Linked DNA regions of Bombyx mori. The main gene of each other region encodes a partner of the protein of the gene in region 2 in a complex. Links are inferred from orthologs where the notes say so. Each region holds a gene or a part of one and is shown on either strand. Other genes may lie near its edges. The genes, in order: serine/threonine-protein phosphatase rdgC, calmodulin and transient receptor potential protein.

Region 1 (3,652 bases), on a different chromosome or scaffold from region 2:
AATTAAAATAATTAAATAAATAATAAGCAATGTAAACCAGGTACTAATCTATAAATAGATACATAGACCAACTAAGTTCATACGAATGTCCGCCCGAAATGAGAATCGAACCCACGACTATCGGCGCTACCTACTCTACCAACGAGTCAGACAGTATAATCAATTTATGCACTATTAATATAAATTAATAAAAGTGACACGATATTGAAAGTTCCCCCTTTTTTTCCCTCATCAATAAGACGGAAATAGAAATAGGAAAACAATATCTGCAAATTAACTAGGTCGTCCGGCGTAACAGGCGGTCTATCAATCAAACCGTAGTGGACGCGGCGCGGCGACACCAATTATCGTGGGATGACGCGTGCGCCGCTCCCAGCGCGATGGTCGCCAGTCGCGACCTCTTCACCTAAACTACCTCCGACAACCGTTTTTTTTATTTATTGCTTAGATGGGTGGACGAACTCACAGCCCACCTGGTGTTAAGTGGTCACTGGAGCCAATAGACATCTACAAGGTAATTAATATTATAATTATAAATTTTTTTAAATGCCGATAGCCTTGAATGTCTATTTCAGCTTCACCCTGACGTTTGTAGGTGAGCTCACGGGGCTCAAACCGGAGAGTTGCTAACACTGACCCTAGCAAGAGCAGTGCTTCGCAGTAGGCAGCGGCTTGGCTCTGCTCCTGGGATAGCTGAAGTCCATGGACGACGGTATCCACTTACCATCAGGTGGGCCGTACGCTCGTCTGCCTACTAAGGCAATAAAAAAAAAATAAAAAAAACTACCACCGGATCGGAAACGCGACCCACTGAGAAGATCCGGCGAGAAACTCAGTGGGCTGTGTCTATGGGTTCATTCGCTCGTCGAGCCCTTGCGCCACCCACCTTGAGATATAAGTTCTAAGGTCTCAGTATAGTTACCACGGCTACCCCACCCTTCAAATCGAAACGCATTGTCGCTTCACGGCAGAAATAGGCGGGGTGGTGGTACCTACACGTGCGGACTCACAAGAGGTCTACCGCCAGTAAAAAGCCCCACCACGACCATCGATTACGGAAAAACAACAAAAACACAATATAGTGTACGCTGCGACCGTTAACGTGTCAATCACGCCCAGTCTATCTGACCCAGTTTCTTTCCCTACGCTCGAAAGCGAGTGCAAATTATGGCATAAATAAATACGCTCGCTTGTTGATTCATCATTAATTTCGCTTCATACAAATAATAGGCTATCAAGAATAATCGAACACGGTTTTTTTTTGTCAGGAGGAAATCGCTGGACTTCCGCCCTTTTCTGGGGATACTGGGCGGGGTATGTCAGAGTCGAACTGAGTAAAACCTCCTGTCGCTCAACAACCAACGTGCAAACCTCGCATGAGACAGAACTCATGACAAGGCAAAGGGGGGAAGGTGAAGCGTTTAGTGCGGAGCACATCTCTCCCATCACCCTCCCCCACGGGACGCCGGACTAGCGGTCGTCGGCGCCACGACCACCAGCCCTCTCGGTCGGCAGACTGTCCGAAGTCCGCCTAGATGGCGCCGGTTAGAGTGGGTTACCCTACGGAATACCCCGCTGGGCCAGAACCAGCGTGGGTCGAGGATAGCCGGCCTTCCATCACCCGGATGCTCTTGCGTAAAACGCGTGCAGAGCAGCTTGCACGTCGTCTTCTTAGGCCCCCCTCGCCGGTCCCCAGACCGACATGTGAGGGGAATCGAACACGTTAACTGACATTTTATTTTGAAAAATAGTAAAAACAAACGCGTTACAGACCATTTAAAAGTACATTCCTTAATTATCATGATAAAGGAATAACGTCATACAAGCAAGCCCATTCAATTTATTAAGCGTAATTACTAGCCGTATTATTATTAGTCCACAGGGATGGGTACCGACAACCTAACTATTTCTTCAACGTAGCAGTCATGCGACCGAACTCATGAATATTTACATAGTAATATCCAGGTGTGGACTCCTGTAACCACTTACTTGAGGACGTGTCGTAAGCTTATCCGCCCATTTACGCTTAATCTATCTATCTATATATATATACATAAAAATGAATTGCTGTTCGTTAGTCTCGCTAAAACTCAAGAACGGCTGGACTGATTTGGCTAATTTTGGTCTTGAATTATTTGTGGAAGTCCAGAGAAGGTTTAAAAGGTAGATAAATATGAAAACGCTCGGAATTAAATAAAAATAACAATTTTGTTTTTCTTTTGATGTGTTCCCCGTCGGACGGATTCCTTTTGTTTCTTTTAAGTTTATTTTATACAAAAGTTTAGGTTTTTTTATTTATCGATTGAGGCACCACGAAATCTGCCGGGTCAGCTAGTAAAGAAATATAAAAGGAAAAAATATATATCATACGATATACGAAAAGAAACCCTTCTCATTAACGTGAAACGCAAACTAGCTCGAGATAATATCCCATTATAGGTAGTGTCAATATGTCAAGGCTTGCACGAGACGGCGAAGTGGGTATTTTCCGACAAATATAAATGGATTCACCAATCTCATCAATAACAGAGGTTAATTCTTCGTTGAAAGGTTCGGTGTTGCGATGTAAAATTATTTTCAAAATATGATCTGACTAGCGACCCTCGCTTCGCTTCGGAAACTGTAATTTATTATTGATTTCTCCACTATGTAATGGATGTTATTATACATATAAACCTTCCTCTTCAATCACTTTATCTATTAAAAAAAACGCATCAAAATCCGTTGCGTAGTTTTAAAGATTTAAGCATACATAGGGACAGACAGACATAGGGACAGAGAAAGCGACTTTGTTTTATACTATGTAGTGATTCTTGATGTATTTTATTCGAATGTGGGAAAAAAAATACTTTGACTCGGATTCCGTTGACAAAAAATCAAGTTAGAGGCAAATCTTTCATCGTAAATCTATAAATGTGGAAAGAAATTGCTTCAACACTTCGAATCGTGATCCGAGAGGGTTGCGAGGATCCCACTTGATAGCGATAGTCAATGTCGCAACGAATATAGACTTGGACATTAGATATTCAAATATTCAAATAAGTGTCACGTGGTATTTTTTTGTAATTTTATTTGAAATCTCTTTCCATTAGTACTAACCTTGTGAAATATGACGAGTAGATCGTCTAGTTTTCCATGGAGATCTCCGCAAACAGTGATCTGGCTAGATATAGATGTGGTAGCCACATTGATATTGGGTAACCTTTTCAATACTTGTGTGGCCTCTTTCAGTATCTGCGCTACGTGCTTTGGATGTAAACGATGCTGTAAAGAAAGGGTATGATGAATATATTTTCAGGCATATCAAAACAAAAAGCAATTTAGAATATCAAACGTTTTAAATCTCCTTCCTGCACATTATGTTACTAAGTCTATACGAAACATGCCCGAGAACAAATTGTCTCTAAAATCTATACTCAATAACGATATTCAAAATTTCATGCATACGAAACTTACCCGAGACCAAATTGTCTCCAAAATCGATAACGATAACCAAAACTTCACGCTATTTTTTGGAAAATACATAAAAATCAGGGTTTTGGCACAAAAGACTCTTAAGGGTCGATATATACGGCGCTTCAATCTATCTGCCCCACAAATAAAAAGTTTACACGAGAATCACACGTATGTCGATTGCCATACGAACTCAATA
Region 2 (4,192 bases):
TTAATAAAATTGACAATTAATTTTTTCTCTTAAAATGAGTTAAAATTTTTAATATTATAATATTATAACTTTAAAACCATCTAATCTGAAAGGATGAAATGAACATTATTTAAATATAAGGTTTTACAGTACAGAATTCGTGATTGCCCCTTTAGCTACAAAAAATCTTTTTATGGAAATGATAAATTAAAGTTATAATCTGCATGCCTTTCATTACATTCATTTTCGTTTCTATAATATCTTCTACAATGTAATAAGAATCTCTTTGTGACTAGTACTAATCTTACGGGGTTCTTACAATGAATGCTTCATAAATATTTCCGACGTGTGTTTTTAATTACATCTCATTGCACACATTGTAAATAAAAATCCTCAAATAACAGTGTCAAGCTAGGTTTTTCTTGTATTATGTATACTGGAAATATATACACGAGACGAGAACAAATATACCTAGAGCCCCAGATGCTAAAAATATTTAAGATACTAAATCGAACCTGAAGCCTTTGTTTGATTTTTCAGGGTCAATAAACACGTAAACAATAAAGCGATCATAAACAATCTACAAGTTCATATTTTTAGTCTGCTTTTACGTATCTTTAAATAAAAGAGATTACTTTGGTAGGTACTATCATAATTCAATTGTCTATATTAATTGGTAGGAAATTATGGTAATTGTTTTTTTGTTTTTTAATTTTTTATTATTTCCGGCATTCCGATTGTGTGCGAATCATACGGAAGATGATATTGCGACAAGATAGGGCAACGTTTACTTTCAGTAGGAATGCGTGTGTGGGGGCGCGGCGTCGGGAAGCCCGTGTTATCTCGTTAGCGGCGCCTGCGGGCGGCACTGCGGCGCGGATCTGGGGCAGCGGCGCTCGGGAGCGGGCACGGGCGGGCGCCGCTCTCGCTGGCGTGGGGCTCGCGGCCGCAGTGACGCATTGCAGGTGCGCGGCGGCCAATCGGCGCGCGCCGGTTCGCGCTCTACGCCGCCGCACCCGCCCCTTATAAAACCGACTATCCTTTGCAGAGCAAATTTAATCCTGTGTTGTGCGTCCCGAAACATGGACTTGGACGTTCCGAGGATAATCATTGTGTAGACCGTTTCCGCCCTGCAGCTTGCGAAACTAACCTTCTCGTGAACGAAAGACGGATATGACAGTGCGACGAATCGAGTAGTCGATTCGGAACGATTCGCGGCCGAGCTCGATCCGAACCGCGATCCCGAGTTTCTCAGCGAGGCCACTCGCGCGAGTGAGGGCGGCAGTATCGTTTCAGCCGTCGGTCCGTGCGGTCGCTTTTGCGGCGTAGTCTGTGATTTTTTAGTGTAGCTCCAGATAATCCAAGTTAATCTACAATGGTGAGTGCTATTTCTATTGAAAGGTGTCGGGAGTGCCTTCAGAAGATCACGAGGAACAGTTTCCGGGTCGTATTTCGGAGAAGTTATGCATCGGTGTTTATAGTGATGACGGCCTCCATTATATTATTGTGATGGCCGTTTTTTTTACCGCATTGCGGATTCGAGAAGTATCAGAAGGCGTAACTGAAGCCTCACAGCGAGGCTTTCGAAATAGATAAACTTCAAAGCAGTGTTGAAAGCTTTAGATTTTGCGATATTTAAAAACGAGCCTATGCAGAAACAACGGTCGCCATAATCTAATAGGTGGTGCCGGTGAAATTACGTTCTTTAATTTGCAGTAGGCCGTTAATGTCGGTTGAAATGGCGCAGGGACGTCGTTGGAAAGAAAACAAATGGCTTTGTAGTTTGGGCATATTGTCGAAAGGCCGCGGCCGCTGTTATGAGGATCGATCGCCGGGCGCAACTGTCAAACGCTCGTTGACTCATCGTCATTATCTGATATTGTACCTACGTAAAACTCTTTTCGTTAGACCGTGTTGTTGTACATAACATATCATCTGCTGTGAAATTCCATAATGGTAACTAAACTTGTCGCTTTCATCGTCGTACGGTGCCACTTATAGTAACAATCATGTAAATAAGTTTTTGTTTATCAAACCAAAACTACAGCTGTAATTCTTTTTCTTTTTTTTTTCGAAAAAGTTTAACATGCTCTTGTTATATTTTAAAAGCTGAATTCTGGTGTCTTACACCAAAATTTCCTTTGCTTGAAGTTACAGAAATTAAGAATAAATCGACGCTTGAAAGGCAAACTTGACTAAGCGACTATAACTGCTTTGTACATAAATGATAAGCAATAACCATATTCAGTGCGCAACGAAAAATAAATTTGTAGGTCTATTAAAATCATTTCAATCATACAGCTAGATTCATTAAAATAAATTTTGTTTTCAGGTATTTCAACTTTAAATTAGTCTACTGTAAAGTTCACGCATTATCGCTTAGTCACGTTTGCCTTTCAAGCTTCGATATGAATACTTGAAATCACAAGGATCGGTGTAGTCCCTATTGCCTACAGTATTACAGTTTGTTCCTGACTAAATCCCTAGCCATTATTTTTTCTATTTTATTTCAGCGGAGAATACTCATACTCGTGTTTAAAAAAATTCATTGAAAGTTTTTTGCCAGTAAAATAATGGGGATTGGGTATGTGGGGTATAATGGTGATATTTTCCCTGCAGCCATTCAAAGTTTTTGTTATGATTTATTTATTGTTCTAAGTTCGCAGATCATGGCTATGAATGTATATAAATTCATACAGAAAGAATCTGCTTTTTAATCTTATTCTAATCTTTAACTATTTTTTTACATCCATTGTTCTAGTAATAACTGTGCTACTCAATAAAATGAAGTCATGAAATGTTAGCTTGAGTATAATAAATAATAAACTGGTGGTAAACATTGATAAATGCTAAATATGCATTCTCAACTAAGGATAAACTTGGTATAATTAAGTTAATATATTATTATAACACCTAAAGTGTAAACATATGTTTAAGTTAAATATTTTTGTATATATCTGAAATTATATTTTTTTCTAATGTGTTTGAAAATCCAAGGAGTTGAGATTAATCTGAAGCTCAATTTAATTGAGTTGGGAAAAAGAAAATATGAAAGAGTTTAGCACATTCTATCATACATTATGAGAACCATTGTTAGCACCTATTGGTATAATTAATAGAGGTCTTTCAATGTGTCGAGGCTTAGCGGAGGCATTCTCATACAACTCTCCAGTTAATATGTAGGACATTGTGGGCTGTAAGCTATGTTTCTCACTACATTAGAATATCTGATAATACAAATCATGTAAAAAGGGCAATATATGTGCAATATTCTTTTCTAAAATAGCTAAGGCCAAATTATCCATATTTAAATAAATGTTCAAGTGACATGATAGTGTAATATTTACCTACTAACTACAATTGGAACTAAAATTAAGATAATAAATTCTTGTGGCCCTGTCAAATGTAGCTTAAGCGATTCTTAGGCTAACATCATTTTGGTACCCTCCGATAGTGCTTAAAGAGACTATTCACATCTAATAAAAAAGAATCCATTAAGCATGTTTATGTATTAAAATTAATTTATTAAAAAGGGAGTGATATTTCAGCTCAAATGATTATTGTCTCTAACAAGCTGAATCTAAATAATAATTCAACATTAAAAAGTGTAGTTGTATCGGAATTGTACAAAAAATGTTAATTTATGCCTCATACATTTGTGTTCCTACGTTGAATCATAACTTAGGTATTTCATACCTATTGCCTACTGTGTAGAATACAACATAGTTATATCAAGTAATATTAGTTTTATTTTTACTGTGTCAATGTGAACAAGTTAGTGACTGTGCATCACTATATTTTTTAGATTTATTTGTTTAGTTATTCATGTTATTGATAACTAAAACATAGTTAAATTAAAAATATATTGCTCTTAGTACAGTAGTATCCCATTTAAGCGGCCGTGAATTCGAGATTGGACATACATGGAGCTTCTTGATTTTCCTGGAAAAAAACTGGCTCTTAGCAATGTGTCTATATTTGAATTTTGCTTGGCACTTGCTTTTCGCCCACAGACCATGACTTGACTAATCATCAAACTTTCGGCCCACAACAACCAAATTTTTTTATTATTATTGCTTAGATGGGTGGACGAGCTCACAGCCCACCTGGCGTTAAGTAGTTACTGGAGCCCATAGACATCCACAACGTAAATGCGCCACCCACCTTGAGATATAAGTTCTAAGGTCTCAATTATAGTTACAACGGCTGCCCC
Region 3 (4,136 bases), on a different chromosome or scaffold from region 2:
ATCTGTGGGTATTATAATGCATTTAAAAAATCGATTATAACTTAAAATAATATAGCTTCACCGGAATTATTGTTATTGACCGAATTCCCGTCAAAAACATCGTCAGAGTTCAATGAATTAACGCATTTTACGATTTCCCGCTGTCATCGATGAGATAAAATGGCTTTTATTACATAAAGCACTTTCAAAGTCATAAATTAGAACTCGGGCGGCTTGATGTCCAGTTGTCTTATGGAAGCTACTCATGGAACCACTTTTACTGATCAGACGCATACCCAGCAACTCTCTCTCTCTTCAACCTCTGTCACCTGGACATATACTTACTGGTAGTAGGACCTCTTGTCTGTCTGCGCGCACTTACCACCCTGTAAGTACCCAGCCTATTTCTGCCGTGAAGCAATAATGCGTTTCGGTTTGAAGAGTGGGGCAGCCGTTATAACTATACTTGAGACCTTAGAACTTATATCTCAAGGTGGGTGGCGCATTTACGTCGTAGATGTCTATGGGCTCCAGTAACCACTTAACACCAAGTGGGCTGTGAGCTCGTCCACACGTGTAAGCAATAAAAAAAACCCAATGCTCACTATATAGGTAGGTCTTTTATTTACATTCTATTCTTTTCGGTCAAGAGTTTTTCGGCAACTAGTTGGTACATAATGCGACTAACTTTTTGAGGCTCTCGTTAGCGCCTCTTACTACTAAGATAAGGGTATCCGGTTTGTGGCTTTATTTGTTCTTTATCTGGCTATGGAAATTAGTCACTGGTTCGATTAGTACGTTTCATTAATAGAGTGGACCCTGATTAAAGATTGGGTGGTAATTTAAAAAAATGCGTATTAATTCTGTTTAAAGTGTCAAAAATGCAGAATGACGGTAGTTACCAACTGATTATAACTATTTTTTTAAATAACTGTGAACTCATATACGCTAGTAGAAAAAAATATTGCAAAATATCACATCTCCTGGATACGTGGTGATTGTATTTACTAGAGGATTCTGAAGTCGTCGTGGCCTAACGGATAAGACGTCCGGTGCATTCGTGTTGAACGATGCACCGGTGTTCGAATCTCAGGCGGGTACCAATTTTTCTAATGAAATATGTACTCTATAGTTTTTGTGGTCGCGAACGATTGGGTCTTCAGGTGATCTGAACTAATCGGCCTCAGGGATCAATATCTACCCGAAAAAGGAATAACGCGATTAGGCTACAACAAAAAACGGAGACCGGAGTATTAGATAGTAGCTCATAAATAACATCCTTTTTTTTATTGCTTAGATGGGAGGACGAGCTCACAGCCCACCTGGTGTTAAGTGGTTACTGGAGCCCATAGACATGTACAACGTAAATGCGCCACCCACCTTGAGATATAAGTTCTAAGGTCCCAAGTATGATTACAACGGCTGCCCCACCCTTCAAACCGAAACGCATTACTGCTTCACGGCAGAAATAGGCAGGGTGGTGATATCTACCCGCCCGGACTCACACGAGGTCCTGCCACCAGTAAAAAAGTAGTAACTAGTTTTAGTAAGTGCCTATAACTAACAAAGTCTATCTCATATCTCTATAACAAAATCAAAGTCTAAATAATTTTACTTAATAAAATTTACTCACGATATGGCTGATGTTAAAACGAACGTGAACATTGTTCTCTTTTTTTCGTCTCTTCATTATGTTTATTTATTATTGGAAAACAACGTTAAATCACTATACACTTTGCACTTTATGAATATGCCCGAAAAAGTTTATTATTATATCGAGGGGTGAAAAGCTATTAGGATTAAACGACACTTTTGTAACTTTACAGGAGGGCCATTTAAAGTTTAAAATTCGGAAAAAGTTGGTTGAAGTTCAATTAAACATATTAAAATGTTGATACTAATCTTTATTTATATAAAAATGAATTGCTGTTCGTTAGTCTCGCTAAAACTCGGGAACGGCTGGATCAGGCTAATTTCGGTCTTGAATTATTCGTGGAAATCCAGAAAAGGTTTAAAAGGTGAGAAAATATAAAAAAGCTCGGGATATTATATAAATACAAACAATTTTGTTTTTCCTTTGATGTGTCCCCCGTCGGACGGATTCCTTTTGTTTGTTTTAAGTTTATTTTATACAAAAGTTTAGGTTTTTTATTTATCGATTGAGGCACTACGAAGTCTGCCGGGTCAGCTAGTATCAAATAAAACGGACCTCTAATTACAAGGATAAATGTGGCGCATTAAGCGAAACGTCGTTTAAACCAAATAACCTCTCATCTCTCGATATGTGTGATGAAAAAAACGTAATATCGTTTTCATAACTTTGCAACACATATGTTTCAATACGTCATTTTATCTGTATTTGCTATATCTTTCACGTATTTCCCTTTTTTATTCATAGCAAGTTTTTGAATACGATAAAATGCACACATGCATAATTGTCACTTATAGTTTTACGAATTTATAGTTTTTTTTTTAAATAACAAATCACTTCAGGTTCGTTTTAAACACTTTCGTATATAAAAGATGTATTTTCTCGGAGCGTGGTGCAAGAGAGACGATCTAAACTTGTGTCTGAAATGGAGAACTCTCTGGGGCGAATCTCCGAGTGGGGTGAATCGAACTTAGTTCAATTCGACCCGTTGAAGACACAGGTTTACGTATTCACTGCGAAGAAGGACACCTTTGTCGTGGTGCCACAATATGTCTGATATTACACACTCTCACCATGACACTGCGCTAAAACATCGCGAACGCTGTTAACGTAAACATTGACCGATTGAAAATCTTCCGACGGATATTCGTTTGATACTTGTTTTTTCTATCGAAGATCGGACAATACTAATCCCAGAGCACGATGCTCTGTTCGCACGTTCAATCTATTTTTATATTTATACGTCTGTCGTAAATGCATATGCCGAACGTGAATTATTAGAGATTTTTTTGTTGAATTGGGATTGTTAAGTTGTATAGTATACTGTGATGTCGATATTTAGAATTGAATAATCATTAATGTAAACATATAAATTCATTTATACTCGTAAAGACTTTTTTATTCTTTTAATTTATGGTTAGTTATACCGAAAAACGTGAAACAATGATAAATTACATAATTGAAGTGATTTTTGTGGCACCTCCAGATCACCTAGGAAACTGAAAATATATTATATTTTTATTATAAATAATAAAATACTGATTTTTTTTTTCTTCTTCACTATTATTACTGAAATTTATCTGCAATAACTACATACCAACTTTATTAGCATTTTATGATTCGTTTAACTATTTTCAAAATATATCATATACGTAATTATCATTCTTTCGAAGAAGACTACATTTTTTGGACAGTTCTGTAAATAATGTGCTCTGTAATTTGTTACCACCAATTATTATTAATGTTTTCGTTGAATAGTTTTTTTAATTAATTAATCGTATTACGAACCAGGAAAAGGGTTGATAATTACTAACACAAAGAAGAGGCGGAGAAACAACCTAATGCATTTGTATTTAGGCCGTATTTTTTTCGCCGAATTGTGTCCTAAAATGTCTATCTAAACTAATAAAGTTGCTTTTACTATAATAAAGTTCACGAGGTTAATGTGACATCCATAAATTTAACTATTTTATGAACAGAGCGATATAAAAAACTATGGACGACAACATTTGTAAAATTTAATTGCGAATAAGTTTGATGTTTAAAGTTTTATTATACAAAATAAAATTGGATTGTTGACTGAACAGTTTCCCGTATTTTTTTTATATTATGTTGAAACATGGTTTAAGTGGAAATAAGTTTATTATTTTATATTATGATGGGAATGCAACTTCTTTTTTTTTGCCTACCCAAGCTGATAGTCCTGAGAGGTTATTTCAGCGTAACCTAACTAGTGGGTGAGCTCACGGGGCTCAAACCTGACGACGTTGCTAACACGAACCCTAGCAAGAGTCGTGCTTCGCAAAATCTACTACCGAATCGGAAACGCGACTCACTGAGAAGATCCGGCGAGAAACTTAGTGGGCTGTGTCTGAGGGTTAATTTTTCGTCGCAAGCGACGGGTTCGACGAGAACGATGACCGGACCACTGCGTGCAACTGCTTCGATTACATGGATTTAAGCAGGTGGCTGCATCTGTGTATGGTCACCAGTAACAAACATCTTA

Evidence for each region.
Region 1: the proteins of calmodulin (region 2) and serine/threonine-protein phosphatase rdgC are in contact, whole or in part, in a crystal structure (PDB 8ZLW), measured with the Drosophila melanogaster proteins. The link is inferred for Bombyx mori from reciprocal best matches to the Drosophila melanogaster genes Cam and rdgC. Residues at the interface, in NP_001246276.1 of Drosophila melanogaster: Glu12, Glu15, Ala16, Leu19, Phe20, Leu33, Met37, Leu40, Met52, Glu55, Val56, Phe69, Met72, Met73, Arg75, Ser82, Glu84, Glu85, Ile86, Glu88, Ala89, Val92, Phe93, Ile101, Leu106, Val109, Met110, Leu113, Glu115, Lys116; in NP_788546.1 of Drosophila melanogaster: Asp2, Glu3, Asn4, Ala5, Ile6, Arg7, Ala8, Ala9, Ile10, Phe11, Ile12, Gln13, Lys14, Trp15, Tyr16, Arg17, Arg18, His19, Gln20, Arg23.
Region 3: the proteins of calmodulin (region 2) and transient receptor potential protein are in contact, whole or in part, in a crystal structure (PDB 7CQV), measured with the Drosophila melanogaster proteins. The link is inferred for Bombyx mori from reciprocal best matches to the Drosophila melanogaster genes Cam and trp. Residues at the interface, in NP_001246276.1 of Drosophila melanogaster: Glu12, Ala16, Leu19, Phe20, Lys22, Leu33, Val36, Met37, Ser39, Leu40, Gln42, Glu48, Asp51, Met52, Glu55, Val56, Ile64, Phe69, Met72, Met73, Lys76; in NP_476768.1 of Drosophila melanogaster: Gly804, Lys805, Met807, Glu808, Arg809, Ile811, Leu812, Asp814, Phe815, Gln816, Ile817, Val820, Glu821, Lys824.

The regions. Positions count from the first base shown.
Region 1 is NC_085119.1:7,743,118-7,746,769, reverse strand, and holds part of serine/threonine-protein phosphatase rdgC, read right to left. Parts: intron 3,265-3,652; coding exon 3,100-3,264; intron 1-3,099. UniProt on the Drosophila melanogaster protein: Phosphatase required to prevent light-induced retinal degeneration.
Region 2 is NC_085129.1:643,934-648,125, forward strand, and holds the start of calmodulin, read left to right. Parts: upstream 1-1,275; 5' UTR 1,276-1,354; coding exon 1,355-1,357; exon of another isoform or gene 1,358-1,932; coding exon of another isoform or gene 1,933-1,935; intron 1,936-4,192. UniProt on the Drosophila melanogaster protein: Calmodulin mediates the control of a large number of enzymes, ion channels and other proteins by Ca(2+). Among the enzymes to be stimulated by the calmodulin-Ca(2+) complex are a number of protein kinases and phosphatases.
Region 3 is NC_085120.1:6,343,002-6,347,137, reverse strand, and holds the start of transient receptor potential protein, read right to left. Parts: upstream 2,820-4,136; 5' UTR 2,704-2,819; intron 1,720-2,703; 5' UTR 1,670-1,719; coding exon 1,613-1,669; intron 1-1,612. UniProt on the Drosophila melanogaster protein: A light-sensitive calcium channel that is required for inositide-mediated Ca(2+) entry in the retina during phospholipase C (PLC)-mediated phototransduction.